Drosophila melanogaster: one gene and its partners. The protein of the gene in region 2 interacts with the protein of the main gene of each other region in a biochemical or structural test. Each region holds a gene or a part of one and is shown on either strand. Other genes may lie near its edges.

Evidence for each region. Proteins that work in one complex are often made in the same cells at the same time.
Region 1: the proteins of tamo (region 2) and Ran form a complex in vitro, tested with the Drosophila melanogaster proteins (one study listed by BioGRID).
Region 3: the proteins of tamo (region 2) and mbo form a complex in vitro, tested with the Drosophila melanogaster proteins (one study listed by BioGRID).

The regions. Positions count from the first base shown.
Region 1 is NC_004354.4:11,144,348-11,150,577, reverse strand, and holds Ran (Ran), read left to right. Parts: upstream 1-1,997; 5' UTR 1,998-2,092; intron 2,093-3,981; exon of another isoform or gene 3,982-4,162; 5' UTR 4,163-4,200; coding exon 4,201-4,635; intron 4,636-4,713; coding exon 4,714-4,929; 3' UTR 4,930-5,726; downstream 5,727-6,230. Other genes in the region: Lint-1 (l(3)mbt interacting protein 1), read right to left, coding at 618-653, 727-864; CG15201 (uncharacterized protein), read right to left, coding at 5,883-5,964, 6,096-6,230.
Region 2 is NT_033778.4:24,127,532-24,135,488, reverse strand, and holds the start of tamo (tamo), read left to right. Parts: upstream 1-1,937; 5' UTR 1,938-2,492; intron 2,493-3,649; exon of another isoform or gene 3,650-3,894; intron 3,895-5,051; 5' UTR 5,052-5,089; coding exon 5,090-5,213; intron 5,214-5,275; coding exon 5,276-5,475; intron 5,476-5,540; coding exon 5,541-6,809; intron 6,810-6,875; coding exon 6,876-7,676; 3' UTR 7,677-7,957. Other genes in the region: Naa35 (N(alpha)-acetyltransferase 35), read left to right, coding at 1-59, 122-262; Zfrp8 (zinc finger protein RP-8), read right to left, coding at 319-1,008, 1,063-1,147, 1,205-1,473. UniProt on the Drosophila melanogaster protein: Has an essential role during oogenesis and embryogenesis, perhaps in modulating the levels of nuclear import of additional proteins. Modulates the nuclear import of dorsal (dl), Dif and male specific lethal 1 (msl-1).
Region 3 is NT_033777.3:12,675,983-12,680,677, reverse strand, and holds mbo (members only), read left to right. Parts: upstream 1-1,625; 5' UTR 1,626-1,676; coding exon 1,677-3,785; 3' UTR 3,786-4,191; downstream 4,192-4,695. Other genes in the region: Cyp313a4 (cytochrome P450 313a4), read left to right, coding at 1-28, 188-260, 304-430, 490-1,075, 1,143-1,303; CG43630 (uncharacterized protein), read left to right, coding at 4,422-4,568; Gnmt (glycine N-methyltransferase), read right to left, coding at 4,673-4,695.

The sequences.
Region 1 (6,230 bases), on a different chromosome or scaffold from region 2:
GCTGCACAGGTGCTAATGGCCATTAAAAACGCTAATGACCACAAGCACTGAGCAAAAAAGGGAATACATTTCAATCACAAATGAGGTTGAGATTGATGGATAAGGATGCACGTTGGAAAAATATTGAAATAAAGCGGCATTAAAGAATATGCGCATTAATGCTGTTAAGAAATCAGCAATATTTGCTCATATAGATGATGGATTTCGTCATATACATAATTCTCATATGTCTTCTTTTCAAAAAAAAGTGAAAGTAATTTCGAAAAAATTCAGAGATGCGAACGTGGTTCCTTTGGAAATGAAAACATTTGACCCAATTTTTGTGCATTATTAGTTTTGCTTAAAACGCAGTTGCCTCTTTCATGTTTCTAACCCAACTCTAGAAAATTATCGCGAGTACATCAGTTTCTTTGAAATGAAAAAACTAAACTAAGTACTACGTTTCATAGCTTCATCTACATACAGTTCTTTGTTTTGGTTTTTTTTTTGGTTGTGTGTAGTGGGAGGGGGGTTGGGTGGTGTTCTACGGGCGAACACCTTCACCCTGGGGAATCGGGAATTCTCGTGGCGTAGAGAACAAAGGACAAAGACTTGCAGTCTTCTGGCATTAAACCCACCGCATCCGCCTGCTCATCGAAGACCTCCGAGACCAACTGCGTAAGTGAGAGAACAGAGACAAAGGAAACAAATTAACTGGTGTTCGCCAAGGAGCCATGGTGCACTTACCGCGTGAACCTTGAGGAAATCGCGCAGCGATCGCTGGCAGTAGATGATGTCGTTCTTCAGCTCCAGCGGCAGCACGTAGTACTTCTCCATGTAGTACCTGAACTTGGCGTACTTGCGCTCCTTATGGTACTTGCTCATCTTGTTCCGATTATATTGACGCTATATATATAACGACGGTTATCGTACGAATCACGCACGCGACTGATTTCGGATGCGTTGCAATTGATGCACTTGTGGGAATTTTGGGCAAATTTTCGAAAGGGAGTGGGGTGGGAATTGAAACCGAATGTGGTTAGAAAATGTGATAGATTGATCACTACATTCGTAACTGATATCTGGCCGAGGAACTTCGCAATTTAAGATAAAAATGTGTTGCATCAACTGGTGGCGTTGCCAGATAGATGAATACATGTGCTCGTTCTCGTAGCGAATTTTTAATCTTAATATGCGTTTAATTATGAATTTGGAGAAATAAGGACGATGTGCGTCAATAACTTCGATGACGGAACGGTGGAATTTTTGAACATGGGGAAGTTTTTTAAAAATTAATTTTTCGTTATTTAGTGTTCCAAAATGCACGCAAGACCATCAAATTAGCGTCGATGAGTTAGAGTCGATGGCGGAACGGTGAAATTTTTGAACATTGGAAAGTTTTTTATTATTTTTTTTTTTTTTATGGGTCAAAATATGAACAAGCCTATACAAAAAAGTACCCATGAAAGTCATTTATGTTTGGTGTTGTTGACAGAGCGTGTTCCGGAATGCCGTGCTTATAGGCTTATGTAGGCCTAATTAAGTAATGATCCTTAAAAAATTCATCAAAAATTTATCTACAGTTTTGCAGAAAATCGTCTACAAGTGGAAGGAGTTTAAATGCCACCTTCTCCAGTACTACAGCCAATAAATATCATGAACCGCCCTATTAACGATAAGAGTTCTCCGCTGACTTTATTTTATTATTATTTATTTTATTACATTGCACTATTATTTATATTTATTATTTAACTCAGCTCACAGAGCGTATTCCGTCGTACGGCATCTCAAAAGTTTCGTAATTTTATTTATTATTTATTCAAAAAGTTTCATTACAATTTGATAGACAGTTTTTTTTTTTGTTACTACACGTGTTCTGTATATCTACTAAGCCATATATTTAATATATTATATTAAATAATTGCAAATGGTGTGGATGGTATATAAGTAAGCGCCAGAATTTGGAACCTCTCTATGCTCGCACGGTCACACTGGCCGATAACGAAAACATCGAGGCAACAGCTATACTTCATTTATCACTCAAATCTGGCAGCACTGCATTGTGTTTCGGCAAAAAAGAAAGTTGTGGTTTTCTAGGAATTTCGAGCAAAATGTAAGTAGAACTACAAAATGGGCTTTAAATTGTGTGCAAATTCGCTGCCAGCCTGGCTAATTCGCCACCGTGATGTGAATAAGTGCTGTGCGGCATGACGCCAGTGACGCCCCAAATTCGCATGCAATATGGACGACGGCGTCGCTTCGCCTGGAATTGTGTGCTTTATTCCCGACCCAGCGGCTTTTGCTGTCTGTCCACCCGGCCACCGCCCACCCGGCTTCCGGCCACCAAGTCCAGCCGGTTAACAAGCCCGATTGCCGGCTAGAGTTGTACAAAACAAGTGGCGTATAGAGCTTCCAGAGATTTCGCTGACAAAAAAAAAAGAAAAACGACGTGGTGCCGCCTCGTGCTGTTATCCCTCCTTTTCCGGCTCATGGCAAGCTCTGCAGTGGAAAAGCGCCGTCCAATTGGGACTGTCAGCTCCTCCGTACGCCACACCGAAGCAGGACAAATGTCCTTGTCCTTTGGCCATCGGAACATTCTCGCCGACTGCCATGCCATTCGCATTTTGTGAGGTTAAACATGAATCGCAAAAAAAAAAAAACGGCAATGAATTTGCTTCATGTTTCTTCTGCCGGCGGCGACGTCGGCGTCGTCGTCTGTCTGCGTCTGTTCGTCGTCCGTGTGCGTGTGCATGTGTGGGTGCGTATGTGTGTTAGAATTCGATTTGTTATTTAGAATATATAAATGCGATTGGCGATTTTCACGTGAATCGCGACTGCTGCGCTGTTCGCCAGCCAGCAAATGAGCTAAGAAAACGCTGCACTATTTGTATGTCGGCATTTTTATTTTTTGGCGCGCTTCGCAGCGTCCACAGGTTCTCACCAATACGAGTGCATGCGTGCGTGTGTGTGCTTGTAATTTGCCGGCGTTACAGGCGGCACTCAAAATAAGGAATTTTCCTGCTTTTATGGGCAGCACCAGTGGTGTGATGCGCAGGAATTTCACAATCTTGCCATCCTTAAAAAGTTACTCATTTCAGTCTCCAAAAGGAATGAGTCATCAAATGCCTTTTTCAGCGTTTTACGAAATATATCCATTCAAATTATTCACCTCATTTCAAATTGATGAAACTGATCTTGATTCATGCTGAAAATATGGTCATCTTTATTGATGAACTTGGTAGTTTGCTTTAATTCTTTTAAAAAGTACTTCTATTTGCTATATGGCCATTTCATTCAAAACCTATATTTACCAATATTTCTTCTCTATAACTTCTTAAATTTGTATATATCTTTGATTACAGTTCGCAGTAAATCATAAACAAATGTTATGCTATATACAGTACAAACACAATAACGCGATCAAGTTTCTTTAGTATGAAAATTTTGTTTACACTGCGCTTTTCTTCGAATGTTTTGAATGTCTCCAATTCTACGCTTAATATTCCGAAACTTATGCCAAGCGTTTATGCGCGCTAATTATTTGCGAACAGAAATGTCAGCATTTATTATTCACTTTGGTTTCCTATGCTCGGGTTTAAATTAGTATTACCCAGGTCAATTGTGGGTCAGAGCCGCCGTGGGTTTTCCGGGTCTCCTTTTGTGTGGCAAACTGTTTTGGGCTGCGCATAAACGTGGTGGGAATGTATGTGTGCGAGTATGCAGAGTATATCCTTCCGCCTCCCTGCCGCCTTCTTGTTGTTGTTGTTGTTTGGTGCGCCTGGCATTTCTGCTTACCTGCACACACAGCCAGCCATACCCTGTGGCCATCTCGCTCTGGCTCGGCATCTCGGCCTTCTTATCCTTGCGGGCTCAGCGGGAGCGGCAGCTGCAGTGTCCTTTGTCGTTATCCTGCTCGCTCCTCGCCGAACAGCTGGTCGCCGTCCTTGGCGGGCTTTGACGCATCCATTGTGCACGTCACATTTTGGACGGCTCGCAGGACGGGCAGTCAGTCGCCTGGCGCTCGCCGAACCAACAACATCCTAGCCAACACATTCCGCTCCTGTTCCTGTTCCTGCTCAAGCTCCGCTATATATATATATATTTAAATATATAAAGTAGCATAGTAGTTGCAAGTTGCTAACCAGCCAAACGCAATTGTTCCATCTGCAGCTCACCGTTCCAGAAATTTTGCATTAACGAAGATACCGAGTGCTTAGAAGGATGGCTCAGGAAGGTCAGGATATACCCACATTCAAGTGCGTGCTAGTCGGCGATGGCGGCACCGGCAAGACCACCTTTGTCAAGCGGCACATGACCGGTGAGTTCGAGAAGAAGTACGTGGCCACACTGGGCGTGGAGGTGCATCCATTGATCTTCCATACCAATCGTGGCGCCATCCGTTTCAATGTGTGGGATACCGCTGGCCAGGAGAAGTTCGGCGGGCTGCGCGATGGCTACTACATTCAGGGCCAGTGTGCCGTCATCATGTTCGATGTTACCTCGCGTGTCACGTACAAGAACGTGCCCAACTGGCATCGCGATCTAGTCCGCGTCTGCGAGAACATACCAATCGTCCTCTGTGGCAACAAAGTCGATATCAAGGATCGCAAGGTGAAAGCGAAGAGCATCGTCTTCCACCGAAAGAAGAACTTGCAGGTAAATAAAGAAAAGCTGAACTTTTATTTGAAATTTTGTTAACGTTATTGTGCTTGTGCCTTCTTTTTTGTCAAACAGTATTACGATATTTCTGCCAAATCGAACTACAACTTCGAGAAACCATTCCTTTGGCTGGCGCGCAAGCTGGTTGGTGATCCCAACCTGGAGTTTGTCGCCATGCCAGCCCTGCTGCCGCCCGAGGTTAAGATGGATAAGGATTGGCAGGCGCAGATCGAGCGTGACTTGCAGGAGGCCCAGGCGACCGCACTGCCCGACGAGGACGAGGAGCTATAAGCCTATTTGTAGTTAACTTAGAGCGAAATCCGACTTGCGCGAAAACACAAACACACACACACTCAAACACAAAACCACAACACACAACACCACACCGAACATAGAACACTGAATCACAGGCACCGTATGAAAAGGCGTGGCAAGAGGGAATGAAGGATTACGGATTAGAGGAAGTAGCATTAGCAGTAGTGTACTATCCGTACACTATTGGATTTGCCAGCCTATGTTCTTCGATCGATCGTTGGGAAAATCTACAAACAAGCCCTTCTTAATACGTCGATTGTATTTAAATTTTAGATCCCCAATTCATTAATAAGTCGGTTATAATTGATTTTTTTTTTGTTTGTTTCCTTATACGTTGGCTCTTGGAAAAAAAGGAGTAAGTAAGTAGTATTGTCATTAAAGTGCTAAAGCAGCAGGCAACAGCAACTTAATCGAAAACCAAGAGAAATAAATAGTCGCAGAACGTATTTTTTTAAAACTTGCAACACCAATGTTCTTTTCCACCCAAAAAAAAAAAGGAAGAAAAAACCAAGTTACTTCAACAAAAGTGTGAATGTTAGAAACGAGCGAGACGGCATGCTCGGAGCGAGCGAGAGCGCAATAGCTGGCCAATGAACTGAGTCCCCCCAAAGGAAAATTAATACTATTGAAAAAAGAAAAGAAAGGAAAACACTGGAAACTATGAGAAAATAACCTATAGACAGGCCGCCGAATTCGCATCCACATGTTATTAATCTAAGAACTAAAGAAATAAAAAATAAACGTCGAAGAAAAAAAAACTAAACGAACGGAGCTGGATTTGCATTTGAAAGATGATAAGGAAATGATGCTAGATTATAGTTATCGCATACCCTGTAATTGAATGGGTAGCACATATATTCCGTTAGCTAATCGTCTACTGTTTACATTTCTACATTTGAATACACTGTTCTTAATGAAACTCCTCGGATTTAGGGACACTTGAGGCAGCAGGCAGGGAAAACTCCGGTGAAGCGATCCTTGTTGCCGCAGGTGACCTTCTGCTGTCCACAGCTGAAAAAAAGATATTGTAGATGGCTTGGTTAGAATCATGTGGAGATCGGGGCAAAGTTCAGCTAGGAAATATTTTGTTTTCTTCATGCAACCTAAGTTGCTAATTAAGATCGCTGTCATGATGCACTTACTCCTCCACGATGGTCTTGAAGGTGTCCGTGCAGATGGCCCGCTTGAGGCACTTGCCATCCTTGCCGAAGTCCACGTAGTCCTGTCCGCGTCTCAGCAGCGGCAGATACTTGAGAAAGATGGTCTCATCCTCCGAG
Region 2 (7,957 bases):
CCAAGCACTTTGACCAGGCCCGCAATGTTCTCGAAAGCATTCAAAACCCAGATCAGGAGGTAAGTCAATGGTAGTTCTGAATTGGTTTTCCTGGATTAAAATGCGTTTCGTTTAATTTCAGATGCTGGACCTCCTGCAAATCGCACGGACTAACTTTGTGGTGATGAATGTGCTGGCTCGCGGTCACCAGAAGGAAGTCAAGCGGCAGCCAGAGTTCGACTTCTCCAAACACAGCTACTTCCCCATCATCAAGCTGAAGTAAATGTTCACGTGTTTCGTAATTGACAAGAATAAAATTTAAATGTACGCATTTTAATGTCAACTCTGATCCTCCGCCACAATGTCCTGCTTGATGAGAAGCTCCTCCACGTAGCCGTCGATGGGGCAGCTTTTGGCGCAAGTGTAGACGGCCAGGACGCCCCAGTCGAGGTTTTCGTCCTCCAGAAGAGTCAGCGCTTGCGGCATAATCTGAAATTCGAACTGACGCTCTCCTCCGCAAGCAATGCAATTGGGCAGCTTGTTAAGTTGGTCCTCCACCGTTTTGACGGTATTCGTGATCCAGAGGGGCTGGCCTCCACGTTTGTAGCGCACGATCTGATCGGGTTCGGCTGCTGTTTGCTTTTTGAACTGACGAAAGGTCTTGTCATCGGCGGCCGCCGAGTTTCCGAAGTACTTGTCCATCTCCGCCTCGGAAACATTGCTCAAGTCGCCCGTCTTCCCGCTGGACTCCAGCTCCTGGAACTCCGCCAAGCGAGCCTCATCGTCCTTGTCCTCCTCGCCAGACTCCACGGGGTTGCTGTCCATTACAATCTCAAATTCTGGGAAAACGATTTGTGTTAAGGGCTTCTCAGTGGCTACTTCTGGTGCTCCGCAGTTTGGCTTGTGTTGTGGCCAGTGGGCCCTTTGATGCTCTGGTGAGCAGTAGTGGATTGCCTTGCATTTGCTGCAGGCGTGAGGAGCATGGCAACCGCAGGCGGCGCATAGTTTCTTTAGGCAGGGAACGGCGGGCTAAGAAAACATATTATGATGAGTATGTTCTGAAAATATGGCTGCTGTTCCTACCAGGGGTTGACCCACGTCGCTCGGCTCCTCCTCCGAAAAGAACTTATTTTTTCGCGGCAACTGTGACCTGAGGACTGTGAAATTGCTGGAAAGATGGGTAAGATTAGGTTGCAAGTTGGTTTTCAGAGCTAGAAGGGATTACCTTGCATTTTGGGCCTCCTGGCAGTCGGAATTCCGGCACAGGAACACATAGATGGACCGATGAAAGTTGTACTCGTCTTCGAAGGGAGCGTATAGCTGAGCCAGGAAGGATTTGGGTGCCCTGCACTTGCTGCACTGCAGCTGCGACGTGGGCGGCAAGGCCTCCAGTTCCAGCCATGCGGGCTGGCCTCCCAGCTTGCTGGGAAAGTAGCGGTTGCTCAGCCAGGCGCCATTGTCGCTCTTTTCCGCAAATCCCAAGTCAATCTCCATTTCTTTCAATCTCCGAAACGAAACTCGTGTTCAGTGTGACCGCAGCGGGAGCGCCAGAAAATACCTCTACAAATTCCGAAATAACGTTGTATAATAACTGATATTTTCGGGGAATCACACTTTTTGGGTGTTATAATTTAAAATTTAAATTAATTACATTCGTTTAATTTGTTGATTTCGGCAGTTCAATAAAATAAAATATTCTTTTCTTCATTGAATATTTGCGATTACTCTTATAAACATAAGGGGGAAACATAAGATTTTAATTTAATGACATTAATCTGGAAGAATAACAAATCTCATTATCCTGAGCCCTTAAAAATGGCAAGCGGTTCAAAATTATAGAGCGAGGATTAATCAGATAAGGCCCCTCTTCTACGCCACTGATAATAAAGCTTGCATGCCATGGATTTGGTATTTTCCGCGAGTTCCTCCATGGCGATTTCCCAGATTTTGGCCACTTCAGTATGCGGTTATTTCTCACGGTTAAAAGTTCTGCTCTCCGAGTTGATTAAACTGGCTAAAGTGATATTTTATTTACTGTTGTGATAAACGCGTGTGAAAAACAAAGACTTTCCATTGCCCGCGGACACAAACGATCACGAACCGAAGAGTGAACCGCTCAGAAACGGGGGGAAAACCAGTTTTCCCACGATTTGATGTGATTGTGAAAGCGCAACGAGATTTGTCAACGCAAACAAGCAAGAAGAAGAGCCCGTGGATAGCGTAATATTTGTTAATAATAACGGCTGCAAAAACAACAACATTGCGGAAGCAGAATCTCCGACTTGTCGCGTTTCCGTCGCAGCAGCGCTAAAAATAAACCCACCCACGCACCGCCCCCTCTCGAATCGCCAACCACCCACTCCCGCCCACCATCCACCTACCACCACCTTCCGCCCACACCCACGCACGAATTTGGAGAGGTGAACTTGTGTTGACTTTTCCAGCGCGCGGACTTTTCCGAAGAAAAATGCAAAAATGAGAGCCGAGCCACCAGCGGACCACTGGGAATTTGCGTAAGTCCAAGGCGGATGCTTCCTGGTTTCGAATTACAGGGTATCACGTGCGCTGCTGCGAGCTAGTGAACAAGAAGGCACCAGATGTTTGATGGAGTGCACATAGAGAAAAGTTTGTGTAGGAACTATTAGGTGTCCGGTACAGGGTATCTCCGCTTCGATGCCCCTGGCAGTGGCTCGCTTTCTGGCTGCCAAAGAACGAGCCGGGTGAGCTTTTATTTGCTAAATTTAGTGCCGCATTGCTGAAAATAAGAATGGGAGCACCCTGCCATCGGTTGCCGGTAGGCAGACTCATATATATGTATATGTATATGCATAATCGCCCCTGACGGCCAGTGTGTGGTTCGGTGGATCTTTGTCCAGGGCACATGGCCCGAAACTGTTGCATGGCCCATCCTCGTCCTGGCCAATCGATGCCTTCGATGCCGACTTCGACTTGGAGTGCTGCCTGAATCAATAAACGCCTCAAATCCCTGCCATATTGCGTCCATTGTAATGTCAGCACATAAATTCTCTGCCCATCGAGGGGCATTTTCACTCGGCTGCAGGCATTCGGTAGTGGTATGTACGCTATGTGTCCTGGCCAGGCAATAAATATTGAAAATTCAATTAGCAGACGGACGGGCAGCCGAAATGCTATGAATTTATCACCACCTGAGTGCGAATGTGCCTGTGGTACTCATAGTAAATAAGTAACTTCATTGCCATTCGGCCCACTCCACTTGCTCCACCTGCATGCTGGCTATTGATTTTAATCCGCCCTGCAATCATCTTGCTTCATTTGGCCGCTGAATTTATGGGTTCCCACGAAAGCTCCACTTTCTTCGGCCCGCTTTCCCATTTCCCCCACTTCACATTCCCATTCCCACCAACAATGTGTGCTGTTTCGGCGCTGGAAAACATTAATTAAAATTCACTGGACTGGGAAAGCTATCAGTTGCATGCATATTCAATTGATTCATTATTACAGGACATCATACATGTAATGCTCAGCTCATTAATCGGTTGACAGTGCGTTCCTTCGACTGACTGTTTAAATTCCCATTTCAATATTGTTGTTAACTAGTAGTATGTATGTACGTACATATGTACATATGCTTATGTACGACTTGAACCCAAGCAACTAAATAGGAAATTGTCAGTATGTGTAGCGTCGAAATTATTGCATAAGTAAATAAATTATAGAGGATGAGAAGGGAAGTCAGTTTATGTGGCTTGCATAAGTTTGTTTTGATATATTTGATAATTATACGCTTATCACTGCCAATGTTGTTCTCTCCGCACACCGCGTTTATTCGACTCCTCTTGTCACCACTTCGCCGTTTGCTCAGTTGCACTACACTTGTTTATCCACGCCCGCCTTGCTGCTCATTCGCATTCTGATTGGAGCGCCGAACGCCAAGTGAGTCACTCCCCAAGGTTGCTCAGCGTAGTGCCTCTCCGGTGTTCTCAGTATCGAATGCCAAAGGCCAATGGACGATCTCTGGCTCCACGATAGCCGATATCAATATCGAGTTAGCCAGTCAAGTGGCTCGGTTCTCCGGCTGGCGAGGGGGGAGATAAGGGCAAGCGATGCAATCGCGAGGCTTCTGGGTTCCTATCGAGCACTTGTGGGCTTTCCTTCGGGTCAGCGAGCAGATGATACCCAGTTGGGAGTAGTATTTGCCAGGTAAAGCTCATAGATAGTAAAGGGCTGGAGCTTGCTTTCCGGTTATCTATTATCATCACAACAAGTGAGCTCCATTATTGCGCTCACTTTATTTACTCTACTTATTTTCGCGTATATTAGGTAAGCCTGGAAATTGTACATGATTAGCATTTCTGACCTTATGACTCACCGAAGCAAAGCTACGAGCAGCCCCACATTTAGTTGATTTCTATACAATTCGCTATCTTTTATTTCAAAAATAAACCTTAGATTAGATACGCCTTTGCAAATAAACAAAGTATGCTGCAGAGTCTTCCTGGATCTCCACCTAGCAATCATAATAAAGGGCTTCCAGTTGGTTTGAAACCCCATAGATGGACTCTACTTAGTGTTTGGTCATGGTGATAGTTTTAGCTTTGTAATTTCTATTAACAAAAAAAAATTTGTATTTATTGTAAACGAAATCCCCTGAAACAGCTTTTCTCCCAGCCAATGAATCAGCTTCCACTGCATCGGGGAGCACAGTAGACGTAATCACAAGTGAGCTTTTTGTTGTCAACTGTTTTTGTCCGCGAGGGGCAAGTACTGGTTGCTTAGGTGCTCCGCTGGCTGGGAGGAAACTGATAAGGACTCGGGAATGCCACTATCGATGACGGGCCCCAATGGAGCCTATTGTTTGCTCTTATCTGTCCAGTTATTGTTACTCCATTCGAGCCCAGTTGGTTGTTTATTTGTTTGTTTGCTGCATGCCGCGACGGCGTGCGTCATGCGGGGAAGGATGTGATTCTGGTGATTCATGCCAGAGAAGTGCATCCCCACCCAACCCCTGGTGGAAAATCAATAGCCATGGTGGCGCGCTCTGGGCTCTCGAGATGTTCGCCGTAGTGTAACCTTGTGTTCTTGTTTTGCAGGAGCCGGAGGCGCCTTGAATGAGAGTCCTTAGCCCGAGATGTCGGATTTCGTGCCGCACGACCTCATCCCCGATCTGTGGGATGAGATTCTCCGGCGCCACTGGATGTTTCTCGAGACGGAGGAGAGCATAGAGAAGCTCGAGGAACGCAAGCAGCTGGAGGGTGAGTTCGCCGCCTTGTCCTTGTCCTAAATGGAAATGGAACTAATCAATCCGCGCTTACAGGCTGCCTGAAGGAGTTCCTCTGCGTGGTGCAGCACGATCGCAAGTTCTTTCTGCCGGAAACTGGGCATGTCCTGCGGAGGTCTGTGCTCGAGCTGCCCGACTTTTCGGCCCAGAACGCCATCGTAGCCTTCGAGACCATCAGCCAGTATGCCAACAATCTGTTTACGAAGCCATGGCGAAAGGAGTATCGAACTCTCAAGGTGGATATAGGATGATGACGTATACTAAATAGCCACTTCTAACTGAATAATCCTCCTTTCTGCAGACCTATTCGGGATGCTTTCAGCACGACATCCAATCCCGCCTGCTGGACGCCGAACAGCTCTTCCTGGCCATGGGCTATCGCCGGGCTGCCGAGGACACCTTCGTCCTCGAGGGTCCCATCTGTCCGGATCAGGTTACGAATGTTTCGCGCGACGCAATGGCCGCCTACGTGGAGTGCCAGATTATGAAGCACATCTACGCGGGAGTGACGGCAGCGGGATACGTCTGCACTTGGAAGGACATCCTACAGTTCCGCGAGCGTTACGTGGGTGGAACTTCCACGACCATCAAGGAGATGGTCAGGCAGCTGAGTGAGAAACGGGTACGAATGGAGCAGCCACCGATGCAGGAGAATACATATAGCAATGTGGTGAGTGCTGCTCCAACTGCCTGCGGCATGCGCAGCAACAACGTTGCCCATCATCCCAGCAGTTCCGGCACTTGTGCCCTGCATCCCAATGGGCTGAACGAGGCGGGTAAGTATCTGCCGCCTTACCCAGCGCCTCCGCCGCAGCAACCGCACCTGCCTGGTCCGCTGATGACGCATTCTCGCAGCCTGGATCACTACCAGGAACCGCAGGCCCATCTGCCTCACCGTCACTCCTTCGATCAGCAGCTCCAACAGCAGTGCCAGCTGCCGCACGTCTACGAGGCGCCCTATGACTGCTTAGATGGCCTGAGCATGGGCAGCAGTGCGTCCTACGCTGCCGTGACTGGAGCCTACAATGCACCGGGAAACCGCTATCCGCTGCCGTACAACATCTCCAGCCAGCTGAATGCCCCGTATGCGTCGCCCGCCGACTTCTATGGCAATGGACAGCACACCAACATGTACGCCACGCTGGGAAAGACGGGCCCAGCCCACAGCTGCGATTTGCACCGTCGCCAGCCGAACACTTCTGCTGCTGCCGCTGCTGCCTTGGCGGCTATGCAGCACCGTCAGAGCACCTATCCGCCGGATCACCACCTCATCGACTTTGACGAGCGAGCGCATCTGACCCAGCATGACTTTGGGACGCATGACTACGATCCGCAGTATGCCGAGCTGAGAGGTCAGGTGCAGCCTAGCATGCGGGGGAATCCGGTAGCCATGTATGCCACCTACGGGGGCTACGACCTGCCCACCACGCTACCGCAAGCGCCGCCGCCGACCGGCCAGGATATGTACATCTATGCGCGGCCGGTTCCGAAGAGCAGCCGTATGCGGGCTTTGGCCGAGGCGGGTGGCATTAATTCGACTGACAAACATCCGCGATCAGCGGAAAAGCAAGTAAGTTCTAACAACATCATCATACTTATATAATGGTTACATATCGTTGCCTACTCCTTTTAACAGAGCACCATGGACAATAATCGCAAGATGCACAAGGAATTGAAGGAGCGGAATAGTCGGACTGCACCGGCCAAGAGGTCCGGCACTGAACGTGATATACCCACCACCATTTCGGACTTGAACAGTTACGACTCGGCTAGTCTGGACGGATTTGTGGCCCTGGACAGTAGTAGCTCGCCGCCTCTCATGCCCAAAGTGCAGGAGGGTGTCGGCAGTTTCGAGTCCTGGAACTATGTATTCAAGAACCTCGAGCGATCGGGCTACACAAAGGACCTGGGTGACCGCGAGGACTTGCTGGTGCAGAGCTTGGACCTAGGCTCGCTGTCCATAACGAACGGCGGTGCAGCTCCTCCGGCGGAGAAGCGCCGTGAGGCCACGAATCCCACAAACGGAGAGAAGGCGCGAACGCTAGATAAAAAATCCGGTACGGGGCGACGCGAGGCTAAGGTGGTGCAAGCTCCTGCACCCAGTCCTCTGCCCAATAGCAGCAGTGCCGGCGTTAAGAAGGTCAAGTCCGCCTTGAAGACGGCCGTCGTGGACAATCGGGGAACCGGGTCAAGGCAACGCACAGGAGCTGTGCCCAAGCAGCCGCCGAATGTGTCTCCCCAGCTGATTGTGACCAGTCCGAACGAGTGGAGCTGCAGCTTCTGCACGTTCCTCAATCCGGACACGAAGCGCATCTGCGAGATGTGCTGCCGCAGCAAGGACTTCAACCTGGAGGCCGCATCGGCGGCTTCCTCCTCGGCGGCTGCAGCTGCGGCGTCAGCGGCCAGTGTGTCGCACGCATCCTCGACCTGCGTGTAGGATGCAGTGGATGCAACGGAACCCTCGTTAGTGATACAAACAGTGTATAGCTTCATATATTTTTTATACGACCAATGTAAGCCTGTGCGCGTGTCTCTAAGATCTAGTCTCGATCGAAGTCGTCGTTCGATGGCAGGCAGCCCTTTGTCATCCGCATTCGGCTCCTTGGATGAGCGGATGGCGCTGCAGACGGGATGGGTCTGCAGTCTGTACATACGAAGTATTCTAATTAGTTACCCCTACTCGTAAACACACGCTTTAATTAGTTTTAGATTGTTTCC
Region 3 (4,695 bases), on a different chromosome or scaffold from region 2:
CAGAGCTTCACCCTGGGAATTGCCACCCGTGAGTAAAGAAGAATGTGTTGTTTGTTTAAAAAAAGACTCATAAATTATGGCTATCACGTTTGTTGTTTGCATACAAAGTGGTCGAAAGCCAGAATGCATAATTCAGTTAGAAGAGTCGATCTGATATTAAATATATGATATACTTATATGAAAGCAGAAACCACCATGGGCAGCGATGTAAAGGATGAAGAGAGCTTCAGGAGCAATTCCTTGCTGGGGCGATACCAATGGTGAGTTTTGACTTGGAATCGGAATGCATCTATCCATTAATAGCATCCTGGAAACCATGACAGATATGTGCTTCTCTCCGTGGCTCAATAGCCGATTTTGCCGGCAGCTGGCTGGAAAGGAATCGCACTACTACCAGGCCAAAACTGAGATTCGTCAGTTTATTCGGAAGGTGAGCACCTCCAACTACTCCCTCCGCTTATTCACTTACGAATCTCTTAACCCCTTTAGATAATTGAGAGAAAGTTGGCCGAGGACGAAATGGGAGCACTACCTTCCATCCAGTCCAATGATAAAAACCTATTTCTAAATCTGGTCACGGATTTGATGAGACGAGGAGTGTTTACCCTGAAGAATGTTGAGGATGAGTCGAATATCATCGTTTTTGGAGCTTTTGAGACCACGGCTAATGCAGTGTACTACACCCTGATGTTGCTGGCGATGTTTCCGGAATACCAGGAGAGGGCCTTTGAGGAAATAAAGACGATATTCCCAAACACAGGAGACTTTGATGTATCCTACGCGGACACCCAGCAGATGGTGTACCTTGACCTGATCCTCAACGAATCCATGAGAGTAATACCCCCTGTTCCTGTCGTATCCCGACAAACGTCTCAGGATCTGAAGCTGTCCAATGGTATAGTGGTTCCCAAAGGGGTCCAGATCGCCATCGACATTTATCACATGCACAGAAGCAAAAAGATCTGGGGTCCGGATGCGGAGACCTTCAACCCAGATCATTTCCTCCCCCACAACATCCAGGACAAGCATCCGTACGCCTATATACCTTTTACCAAGGGCATTCGAAATTGCATAGGTAACAGAGTGATCGCTAATTTATGACCATTGTTTTAGCTATATTCTTATTATTTCCTTCTGTTTAGGTTGGAGATATGCCTTAATATCGGCGAAAGTTACATTAGCCAAGTTATTGCGGAATTATAGGTTTAAAACGAGTTTTCCCTTCGAAAATCTATACTTTGTTGAAGATATTACGATGAAGTTGAAATCTGTGCCACTGTTGGAGCTCCAAAAGAGAACTTAAATGTTTATAGCACTTAGTGATTTTAAATAGATTATTAAAAGTTGTTGAATTAATGGGTTCTGTGAATTATACCAATATTAAAAAATAATAACATCTACCTTTTATAATCTTTTATTAACTATTAATCAATTATTCCATTTTTTAAATTTATAGCATGATTTATGCTAACGTCTTTCGTTGAAAAGTTTAAGCAGCAATAATTATTAGTACATTTTCCGAAAATGTTGGTGTTAGCGTTTTTTTAACAAATTTCTTGTTTCATGAATTCGAATTAAAAAAATACTAAAAAAAAATACTTTGCGGATTTCCGAAGACTACTATCACACTAGCATTGACTTACAAGCCGGGCAACGAATTGAAGCATAAACAAACGATGTCGCTCACCGATGTCTTGGAATTGAACAAAACGGAGTTGTTCGCGAAGATTCGCAATGGGTTGCCCGTGGTGCAAAGGACTCAGAACCTGCTGGACTGCAAGGACGATCTGCTCTTTGCCTGGCACGCGAAGGACAGCTGTCTGTTGGTTCGCAACTGGCGCTCATCGCTGGCGGCAAAGGTGAATATCCAGTTCCAGACACTGATTCCATCGAGCTTGGTGAGCCTGGAGGTGGACCGCGTGCTGGCCTCCAACGAGGGCTCCCTCGTGGCACTAAGTGGACCGCGCGGCGTTGTCATAATGGAGCTGCCCCGCCGCTGGGGCCCCGATGGATACTACAAGGATGGCAAGCCAGTGATCACCTGCCGCACGTTCGGCCTGGACACTCAGCTTTTCCTAAAAAACCCGCACTTGGAAGTGCGCCAGGTCCGCTGGCATCCGCACTCCGTGTCAGACTCCACGCTGCTCGTGCTGCTCAACAACAACACGATTCGAGTGTACAATCACTCCAAGTTGCGCCACGTGTGGCAGGTGGGTCCCCCGGTGCTTCGAAGTGGGGCCAATAACTCGCTATGCGACTTTGGCGAGCTAGCCGTTGACTTTGACATCGCTCCTGCTGCAAAACCACGTGTCACTGAACCAGAAACAGCCGGCAATAACGAAACCACTTTGGATAAGAGCAACAAAACCCTTGTGGCGGCCAAATCGCTGCCGAAACAGGAGAGGATAGAGTGGCCCATGGTTGTGCTCCGCGAGAATGGAAACATCTACATTTTGATGACCGGCGTGGATTCGGAGAATACGCGCCTGCAGGGCCCCGTTACCATAACGCCACAGGCACATGACAATTATGGACTGGAGTCCTGTGCCCTAATGATTATCCCATCACTTCCGCCGACCATTGTTATAGCTGAATCCAATGGAAAGCTTCACCATGCTCTGCTTATGGAGGCGGAGGCCACTGAGCATTCTTTCAATGAGGTTGACGACTCTGTGTTGATTGAACCCGCCGAATACGTTGTACATGTACTAGAAACTGTCGAACTTGAGCTGGGAATATCTGCACCCGCAACTGGAAAAGAAGGAGGCAACTGTCCCATATACTTAAAGCGGGATTTGATCAATGAGCTTCGCTACTTTGCCTACCACAACGCAGGACTTCATGCCGTTACGGTCAGCTTTATCGCAGAGCTGCAACGTTACTTGGAAAGCGAGTCCGATGAAGATCGTCTAGAGCTGGCGGTCTCTGCAAGTGCAGAGTACATTCTGTGCACAAAATTCGATTCCAGTGAGACGGTGAACGCAGTCTTTGGACTTGCCCTATTACAAATTCCTGCCGGTATAGTTCTACTGCTGGGCAGCGGTCAGGTGATTAGCCTTAAGCTGGTAATTGATGCCCAGCTGTTGGTTACACCTAATGAGAATAAGCCAGTTGACTCGGAAGTGTCTCAGCAGGAAAGTGGGCCACCGTTTGTCGATACGATTAAATCGCTTTTGCAACGTAGTGTTAACCAGCCCATCTTGGCGGATAAACTTTCCTCGCCATCCGCCCAGGAGAGCTTCGAACTGCTTAACCAGGCAATCGAGGTGCTTCGTGAGCAGTACCTTAAACGACATGACCTTGTGCGCGCCGCATTTACACGCCACATCAACCAGATCCAGCTGAAGAAGGAACAACAGCTGCAGGAGATCCAAGACCTGGAGCAGGAACGCGAACTGATCAGCGAGCGGGCCCACAAGCTTGCCGAGCGCTTCGAGGAGATTAGCTACAACCAGGAGCTGCTCGTCCGCAAGTGCAACGCTCTGATGCAGAGGGCCAATGCCTCACTACCCAATAGTGTGATTGCGGAACGGGAGTTTTCGCAGGAGGTGATTCGACTTAATAAGGTCACCCAGAGCCTGGCCGCTGGACTGGAGACTGCTAAGAAGACGTTTAACAAGCAGCGCTACCACATTGCCCAGAGTCAAGAGGACCTCAAGAAGAACGCGTACGAGCTGCCGGAGAAACAGCACCGCACTATCACCGAGATACTTACCCAGCTAACCGGGGAGATCGATCGCCAGATCACCGACGTCAAGCGCATTAATAAAATCGTTGGCATCTAAATTCGGATTGGGAAGCACGCTCTTAAGATTTCACCACGTTTTCGTGATAGTAAAGCCGTTGCGTAGAACTAAAACGTATTTTTAATAAACATGTCAATTAAGTCCTATTTTCGTTAGCTGGCTTCTGTTTTTTGTATTCGATGACACTTTAATGAGCATACGTCAGCGTTTTCTGCTAGACGATCCTTCATGAAGACACAAAAACATTTGATACCCATGGGTATTGTGCTACAAAGTCTACTACAGTAAAATCTATTCTTGACGTACTGTCCCATTTTCCGGATTATAGTTCAAAAAGTAAAATAATAGTAATAAAATAATAATAAGAATAAAATAATGAATAATAATAGTAGACTTCATACATCATAATTCGGAAATACAAAGTATTGTAGTACTGCTGTAACATAGTTTTCCAACTTTCAGCTCCACTGTTATTAGAATACCACAAATTTTTCTAGTATTTGGTTTTTAAAGTATCGCATTTCGATCGTTACTCATTTTCTCTGCAAAGCAGAACCCATTGAAAACGTAATGGAAAAGCATTTGCAAGGCTAATGACACTCGCCCCAAGAATTGAGGGTTTCGATAGCTATTGCGTTTTAGTGACAGTCTAAAGCGAAGTTCGGCGGACGAGAGATGACGTTGATACTACTGGCTGCCCTGTCGAACATCTACACCGGGATGTTCAACTACGTGAAGGCCAAATTCCCGTTCGTGATCGAGGCCGCCATGGTGACCCTGTGCTTTGGCTCCATCGTGGGTCGATTCTGCATAATGGTTTAGAAGAAAACTGAGGAGACTCGAGACTGTGCGAATCGAAGGAACTTTATGTATATTTATATGGATGTGTCTTGTGGCCTTATGTGAATACAACTAAAAACTTAAATCTAAACCTGTGGCTTTTCGATCA